Elephas maximus indicus: one gene and its partner. The protein of the gene in region 2 interacts with the protein of the main gene of each other region in a pairwise test. Links are inferred from orthologs where the notes say so. Each region holds a gene or a part of one and is shown on either strand. Other genes may lie near its edges.

The links. The genes of interacting proteins can lie anywhere in the genome.
Region 1: the proteins of SAT1 (region 2) and CASP7 interact in binary tests that used the Homo sapiens proteins (3 or more experiments, as listed by UniProt). The two-hybrid records come from large-scale screens. The link is inferred for Elephas maximus indicus from reciprocal best matches to the Homo sapiens genes SAT1 and CASP7.

The regions. Positions count from the first base shown.
Region 1 is NC_064834.1:64,644,412-64,648,156, reverse strand, and holds the start of CASP7 (caspase-7), read right to left. Parts: upstream 2,882-3,745; 5' UTR 2,559-2,881; coding exon 2,556-2,558; intron 1-2,555. UniProt on the Homo sapiens protein: Thiol protease involved in different programmed cell death processes, such as apoptosis, pyroptosis or granzyme-mediated programmed cell death, by proteolytically cleaving target proteins.
Region 2 is NC_064846.1:155,343,975-155,347,719, forward strand, and holds the start of SAT1 (diamine acetyltransferase 1), read right to left. Parts: upstream 2,754-3,745; 5' UTR 2,562-2,753; coding exon 2,496-2,561; intron 2,266-2,495; coding exon 2,214-2,265; intron 2,128-2,213; coding exon 2,044-2,127; intron 559-2,043; coding exon 457-558; intron 371-456; coding exon 330-370; intron 197-329; coding exon 26-196; 3' UTR 1-25. UniProt on the Homo sapiens protein: Enzyme which catalyzes the acetylation of polyamines. Substrate specificity: norspermidine = spermidine >> spermine > N(1)-acetylspermine. This highly regulated enzyme allows a fine attenuation of the intracellular concentration of polyamines.

The DNA of each region.
Region 1 (3,745 bases), on a different chromosome or scaffold from region 2:
CAGTGTCTTAGTTATCTAGTGCTGCTGTAACAGAAATACCACAAGTGGATGGCTTTAAGAAAGAGAAATTTATTCCTCACAGTCTAGTAGGCTACAAGGCCAAATTGAGGGCATCACCTCCAGGGGCAGGCTTTCTCTGTCGGCTCTGGAGGAAGGTCCCTGTCATCAATCTTCCCTGGTCGAGGAGCTTCTCAGCACAGGGGCGCCGGGTCCAAAGAATGCACTTTGCTCCTAGCTCTGGCTTCTTGGTGGTATGAAGTCCCCATGTCTCTCTGCTCGCTCCTCTCTATTCTATCTCAAAAGAGACTGGTTTAAGATACAATCTAATCTCGTAGATGGAGTCCTGCCTCATTAAAATAACTGCCGCTAATCCCATCTCATCAACATTGTAGGGATAGGATTTACCCCACATAGGAAAATCACATCAGATGACAAAATGGTGGACAATCACACAATACTGGGAATCATGGCCTAGTCAAATTGATATTTTTGGGGGACACAGTTCAATCCATGACAATCAGGCACAGAAAAGTGCCCCACACACGGCAGGCACTCAAGAAATATTTCTTTATGAATGTTATAACTGAAATGCATTTTTAAATCCTTTAGTGCCAGAATAAACTGCTGACACAGGACAGACAACGGAACCAAAGGGACCCAGGAGGACAGTTGAGAGTCCAGGCACGGCAATCAGCTGATCTGGGGTCAAATCAGCTCCTCCACACTCCGCCATGAAACCTCAAAGTACTCAACGTCTCTGAGTCTCAGTCTCCTTATCCGGAAAATGGGCAAACCCTGGCACCTAAGTCACAGGTGGCTGTGAACACTGTGACACGTTCTGAATGTTCAATAAGTAGCCCTATTATCATCACTGTCCACAGAACTCAAGACTAAGGAGACATTGGACCATCTACTTGCACTGGTATTTTAAAACCACGTCCATGCTTTAAACAGCTTTTGTGAAGACAGAAACAAAATTCCTCTAGTGACTCTTTCAAAACACACTTAATTACTGCCCCCATATTAGGGCAACTGGTACATATCTGGGTAAGAAATCACTTCCCAGCATTGTCTGAACTTGGATTTTTTTTTTTCATGAGGGAGAAAATGGACTCATTGCAGCTGTTTCTCCTGAAAAGCAACATGATGCAATTTGTGCTGCACTTCTTGACCAAATAAAGGCAATCTTTCTACAGGGCTCAAAGAGAAGCAGCCCTGGTGACCTTCACCTGTCACCTCTGCACCTGGGGGCAGCTCTCCTGGGCATTCAAGTGCTCCACTGTATCACCTGCTCCCCACAACACTGCCAGGAGACTTGAACCTTGCCCTCTGTTTTGCTGAGGTAACCTAGGTTTCTTCAGAGAGGCTAAGTAACCTGCCCAACACCACACAGTAAAGAGGTGCAGAAGATGGGTTCTGAATCCAGGTGTTGGAACCTGGGTTGTGATACTGAGGACGAAGGTCAGGCTGGTTGCCTAGAAGATCCTAAAGGAGGAAATAGCCCTTAAGTAAACATCACCCAGTCCAAGTGTTTCCGAGAAAAGGGTGGCGCATGACTCATCCACAGTCATGCGCAAGCAACTTGAAAACAAAACCGAAACCGAAGCCCGTTGCCATCAAGTGGATTCTGACAGACCGTATAGGCCAGAAGAGAACTACCCCACAGGTTTCCAAAGAGCGTTGGATTTGCACTGCTGACCTTTTGATTAGCAGCCCCGTGGTTAACCACTGTGCCACCATGGCTCTTGCAAGCAACTTTACTGCCCCATAAACCACAAAGCTGGGTACACTGGTGAAGGGTTGCAAGGTCGCCTGTAGCCTGGGAGTCCACAGGCCTTTTTCACCTCCTCGAGACCACTCCATGAGCCCCTGCAGCAAGGCTAGTCCGACAATGAGGGTACTAGCTTACAGGTATTGAGCCTGGACTGAGGCTCTTTTGTGCACCATCACCTCCATCCATGCCTGCAGCCACCCTCAGCCCGGGATCCCATCATTCCCATTTAACAGGCAGGCACAGACAAGGTCAAGGTCCTACAGCCGGCAAGCAGAAGTGAGGGGACTGGTTCCACCAGGCCTCTCTGACCTGGAGTCCTTGGTGTTAACTGCGGTGCCAGACATCGCACCCCTCCTTTCTAGCAGCGCAGTGGTTAAGAGCGCGGCTGCAAACTAAAGGGTCCGGCAGTTCGAATCCACCAGCCGCACCTTGGAAACCTAGGGTCGCTATGATTCGCAATCGACTCGACCGCAAAAGATTTTGCGGCCGGGGGGCAGAAGCGGGGAGGCGGGATTCTAGCAAAATCCGTATAGTATGGGGTGTCCTAAGCCCCCTGGCAAGGAGGGAAGGGAGGACAAGCTGAGCAAAGCAAGCGGGGCTAGGGGCGGGGTAAACCGTTCCCCCAAAGTTTCAACGCCTGTCGTCCGGGCCGCCCTCCCCGCTCCTACCACCACACCACCCCGCTCCTAGCTGTCTCCAAACTGCGCTCGCAACGGCGGAAACCACGCATGAAACGAGCGAGGGAGAGGGAGAGGGCAGGCGGAGGGGAGGCCGCAGTTACCATTCCCAAGGCCGTCGGGCAGCCAGAGCTAGCCGCTCCGTCGGTCACTCCGGTGCGGGGGTCTGAGGGGCCGCTGTAGCGAAAGCGAAAGTAAAAGCCCGCGTGCTTCAGGGGGAGGAGCCGCCGGGGCAGGGCGCGGAGCCGAGCGAGACTGCGGGTACCGCCCCTGATTCGGGACCCGGCGCTCCCCAAAATTGACGGCGCGCAAGATGACCTGTGTCACTGTCGAGGGGAGCGCGCACCGCCGGGGAGAGCGCGCACCATCCCCGAAGAGGGCACTCTTCGCACCCGAGAGCGTGCCTCACGAAGTCTGCGGAGTTAAATCCCGCCGTTGCGCGCACAGTTCCGGGAAGCGCTTATTCTGCAAAAGTGCCGCTTTTACAGTGACCCAGGGGAGCGCTCCCTGAAGACTCAGCGGCGCGCAAAGTGATCCGGTCGCGATGACCACCCACCCTCGGTCCCCAACGCCGCCCCCGCGGCTGCCCCTAGAGTAGGACCTCGATCTTGGCCTTCGCATCACCGCGGATACCGAGTTCCCAGAGCCAGAGGGCTCGTCCCCAGCCTGACCCTTGACCCCAGTCTGTGCTGCTCCTGTCCCTCGGGCCGCTCCGGACCTATATCTATAACAGTTACCTTCGCCCCCTCCGGCCAGCCGTGGGATCTGCTGAGGTCTTCCCGGCTCCCAGACGTTGCTTCCACTTGGAAATTTGCCCTCGTGGGCGCGAGGATGCCAGCTTAGCCTTCTCAGGTTCCAACCTTGCCACACAGCCAGTTTTGGGCGAAGCAGCTTCAGAATCTTTCAGGAAATATTTTTTGAGCGCCCCCATGCGTCAGGCACTGAGCGTGTGGCCGGGAATAAATCAAGGATAGGAGAGAGTTCGTACCCAGTGGTTCTACCTCACCCTTACCGCCTCTACCAGCCTCTCCTCCAGTCTGTCTTCACCCCTCGGCTTCCAACACCTTTCTCTCAAGACCCCTCAGGAGAGCAACTAATTAACCCAGGCACACTGACGTTGTAAATATCTGTAAAGAAATTATGGTTTTATTCATACCAAAGATATTCGCTTTAAAAAAGAACTCTCGAAGCCTTGAGACAAAGGCATGAAACCTTTATGATATGATGTCAGATAAGAACTGTATCTTTTTGTTTGCTTGCTTGCTTTTCCCTGGGCCTAAGACTTCACTGTTGT
Region 2 (3,745 bases):
TTGTCATTGTCTGCACTGGCGCTTCTCACTCCTCTGCTGCCATTTTTAGCAAGTACTCCTTGTCAATCTTGAAGAGTCTCCATCCCTCTTCGCTGGACAGATCAGAAGCACCTCTTCTTTTGTAGAAGTTGATAGATGGTTCGTTCCATTCTGCCACCAAGAAGTGCATGCTGCTGCAGCGACATTTCATAGCAACCTATTGTTAAGGGGGAGGAGGAAAACAAAACTCAGTGACATTTCACCTGCTTTCCCCAGACCTAAATTTGATTCAGTCATTAAAATAAATCCAGTAATCCTTACAAATTAAGAAGCCAAAGACTAAGACATACCTGGCTTAGATTCTTCAGAATTTCTGATCCTATGCCAAAGCCTAAAAGAGAAGTACAATTAAAAACATTTTAAGGATTTAACGCCCTATATTTCTCTTTAAACCCACTCCTCTGTACTCAGCCATACCTCTATAATCGCTCATCACAAAGAAGTCCTCAAGATACAACAGCTTGCCAATCCACGGGTCATATGTAAAATAGTACATGGCAAAACCAACAATGCTGTGTCCTGTAATAAGAGTATCACATGAGTTCTAGAGAAGAAAAATCCACAAAAGTTGTAGCTGCAAAACAGAAGCCTATCACAGGTTTTAAAAAAAACAGACATGCATATATTATAGAAACAAGTAGCCACTAAATTAAGACTGTCTCCTTTTATGATAGTGCAGCCCAGGCCACTGTTGGACAACCTCACTGTTTTCAGAACACTTATTTGCAAAAAGCACACATTAGAGCTAGTTGAAGCCAGGCTAGAACTGTGGGCTGGCCTCTCTTCAATCTGCTGGAGCTCACACTCAGGAAGCAAGAATGCTTTAATTACTTGCCAGAGCTAAACTGCTATGGTTTTTAAAGTAAACACACATATTATTCACATCCTACTGATATACTGGTATGCTGATTGGGGAATAAGTCAGGTTTACACGGCAGTTCAGAATATTAATTGTGTTGTCTGGAAACTCTGCTTCCTTAAGGTCAGATCAGGCTAAAGGTGCAACGTTTAATTTCAGAACTTGCCTTCCAATTCACACATATCCCAATTTGCTTTCCCCAGTTTTAAAGCCAGAAGCAGCAGCAGTAGCCACGAACAGCTATTATGTAACATCCATAAGTCTTAAAAAGCACCTCATTTCTTCTAGCTTGGGGAACCAACTTCAGAAAAAGCTTAAGAAATCTCCCACCCAAACAACTTCCCCTTTTAGCTCTTATCTTCTGACCAGTCAACAAGGACCAGCAAAAATATGAAAACTAAAACAAAAAAACCAAGCATCGGATTCTGTCTTAACAGGTATCCACAATTCCAAAGGGAGGCAAAGGTTTTAAATTAAACTTTCAAGCCATTTTATATTCCTTTGCAAACAAACAGGAAGCGAGTATAATGAAGTTTCTGATCTACCGTGTTTTAAGTGTGTGATAATAGGGCCTTACCTCATTTATCATGATCATCTACTTTATTGTGTAAAGGATCTTTTAGTTACCTCCCCGCCCATCCATGTACACGGAAGGGCCATGTACATGGCGAAGCTAGAGACTGTAACCTGAAGATTGGGACAAATTAAAGAAAAAAATGCAATTTAACACAATTACAAAAAAGGTTACGTTAGGGTCAAACAAGAACCATTTTATGAAACTGAATTACAACAAAAGACATTATACCTAACTTTTCTGGGTCTTCACAGCACTGATAATTAAACAGTTCTTTTCCTGCTTCCGTAAAGATTACAGCCGAAAAAACCCTAGGGGCAGTTCTACTGTCACATGACGTCTCCACGAGTCGGAAACGACTAGATGGCACCCAACAACATTAAGTGCGGCACATGTATTGTTTTTGTTTTTTCCTCCTCAGTAGTTTTCCACACTGGCTGGCTATTATTTCTGGCCAACTTCTCACTAAGTAACTTGGGCCTGGGTAGTTAGTGGTTCTACACAGCAGACACTACGTTTTACACAACACTCAGTCTCTCTGACCAGCTTCTGGAAGGGGAGGGGTGGCTACCTTCCGGAGTCCAGTGCTCCTTGGGCACTTCTGCAACCAGACAGTGGTAAAAGGGGTGCTCTCCGAAACCATCTTCTAACAGATCTGCAAGGAGGGACACAGTGTTGGCTTCGGGGTGGGTGAGAGGCACCGGACTCTTGTCCCTCCCCCCTGCCCCACTGTTGCGTTACCTTTCTCAGTTAACCTTACTTTCTCTTCCATGTATTCATATTTAGCCAGTTCCTGGGGCGAGGCACGCAGAAGAAAAAAGAGAGAACAGAAAACAAAGTGAGGCCACCGACAACTCAGAGGAAGGGGATGAGGCTCGGGAGGGGAGGGCGGCAGGAGAGGGCGGGGCAGGGGCAGGGGAACCGCCCCGGCTCTCCAGCAGCGACCCAGTCCCAGAGACCCACACTCTCCCCGGAAAGAGGCCGCCCCACCCTGGCCCAGGAGGCGCCCGAGCCGCCAGCTACCTTGATCAGCCGCAGGATATCACTGCAGTCGGCGGCGGTGGCTGGGCGGATCACGAATTTAGCCATTTTCGTCTTTTGCTTTTCTTCCCTTTGCGGACCAAGCCCCTGTACTTGAACAGCAGGAGGAGGTGGTTCCTCATTCGTCTCCCGGGAGCTTCCTTTTCTCAGTCAGGCTGGCACCATGACCCGGCGAACTTCGGCAAGCGACAAAAAACCCTCACCAGAGCGAAGACTAACGCTACGCGTAGAAGCTGCGGCCAGCGCCGCTTTTTTAGTGCGAAGGAGCCCCGCCCCGGGCCGTGAGGCGGAGGCATCTCGCCCAATGAGATCGCGGCCCTCCCCCCTGCCCCCACCCCTTTTCCCCCGGCTTCGCTCTCAATTCCGAGCCCGTGTGAGCTGAGCAGGCGCGAGCGGGGGCGGTGACCGAGAGTAGCCTGGGGCGCGGCGGCTTCGCGCAGCGGCGCTCTCTAGCGGCGCCCTCTTGCGGCGCCTCATGGAATATTCCCGGAAACCGCGCGCCCCAGTAATTTTTGCAAATAATGGAATTTCCCCTGTGTCCCCCAACCTGTGACCTTGCTGCCTTCTCCTTGGCCCGTCGGTGAACCAAATTCTGGAGACCTGGCATTGGACGGTCGGAGAAGGTCTAAGGCAGAACTATTTTCATAATAATAGTAACGTCATTTGACTTTTTAAATCTCGGAATTTTCCAAAGGTGACCCGTTGTGTGATGACGTCATCGCTCTGATGACTAAAGGACTGTGTTCGTGTATCTTGTGTTTTCTAGAACTTTCTAAGGTAAGCTGTTTAGGTTCTTCAGTTTCTTTTTCTTATTCTTGCAATTGTTTTTAGAGTTAGTGAAGTTTTTTCTTTGTTACGTATCCCCCGCCCCACTATTCCTTTTTAAATCTCTGACTTGTGGAAACTCTTTTCTTCTGCCTGAGGTACATTCTTCATAATTTCCTTCAGTGAAGGTTTGCTTTTGTCAAACTTTCTCAGTTTTGCTGAATATGTCTTCACTTCATCTTAAATTTCTTGAAGAATTTTTTTTCATTGCTTATAAAATTTGAGGTTGAAAATTATTTTCTCTTCTACATATTGATGTATTATTTGGCTATCTTTTGGCTTCCAGTGCTGTAGAAAAGTTAATTGTTTAGAAAGTTAATTGTTTAAAATTAATACATAATTTTTCCTCCAAATATTTTTGTATCTTTTATTAGTGTTTCGTGTTCTTCAGTTTCTCTTTGATGTGT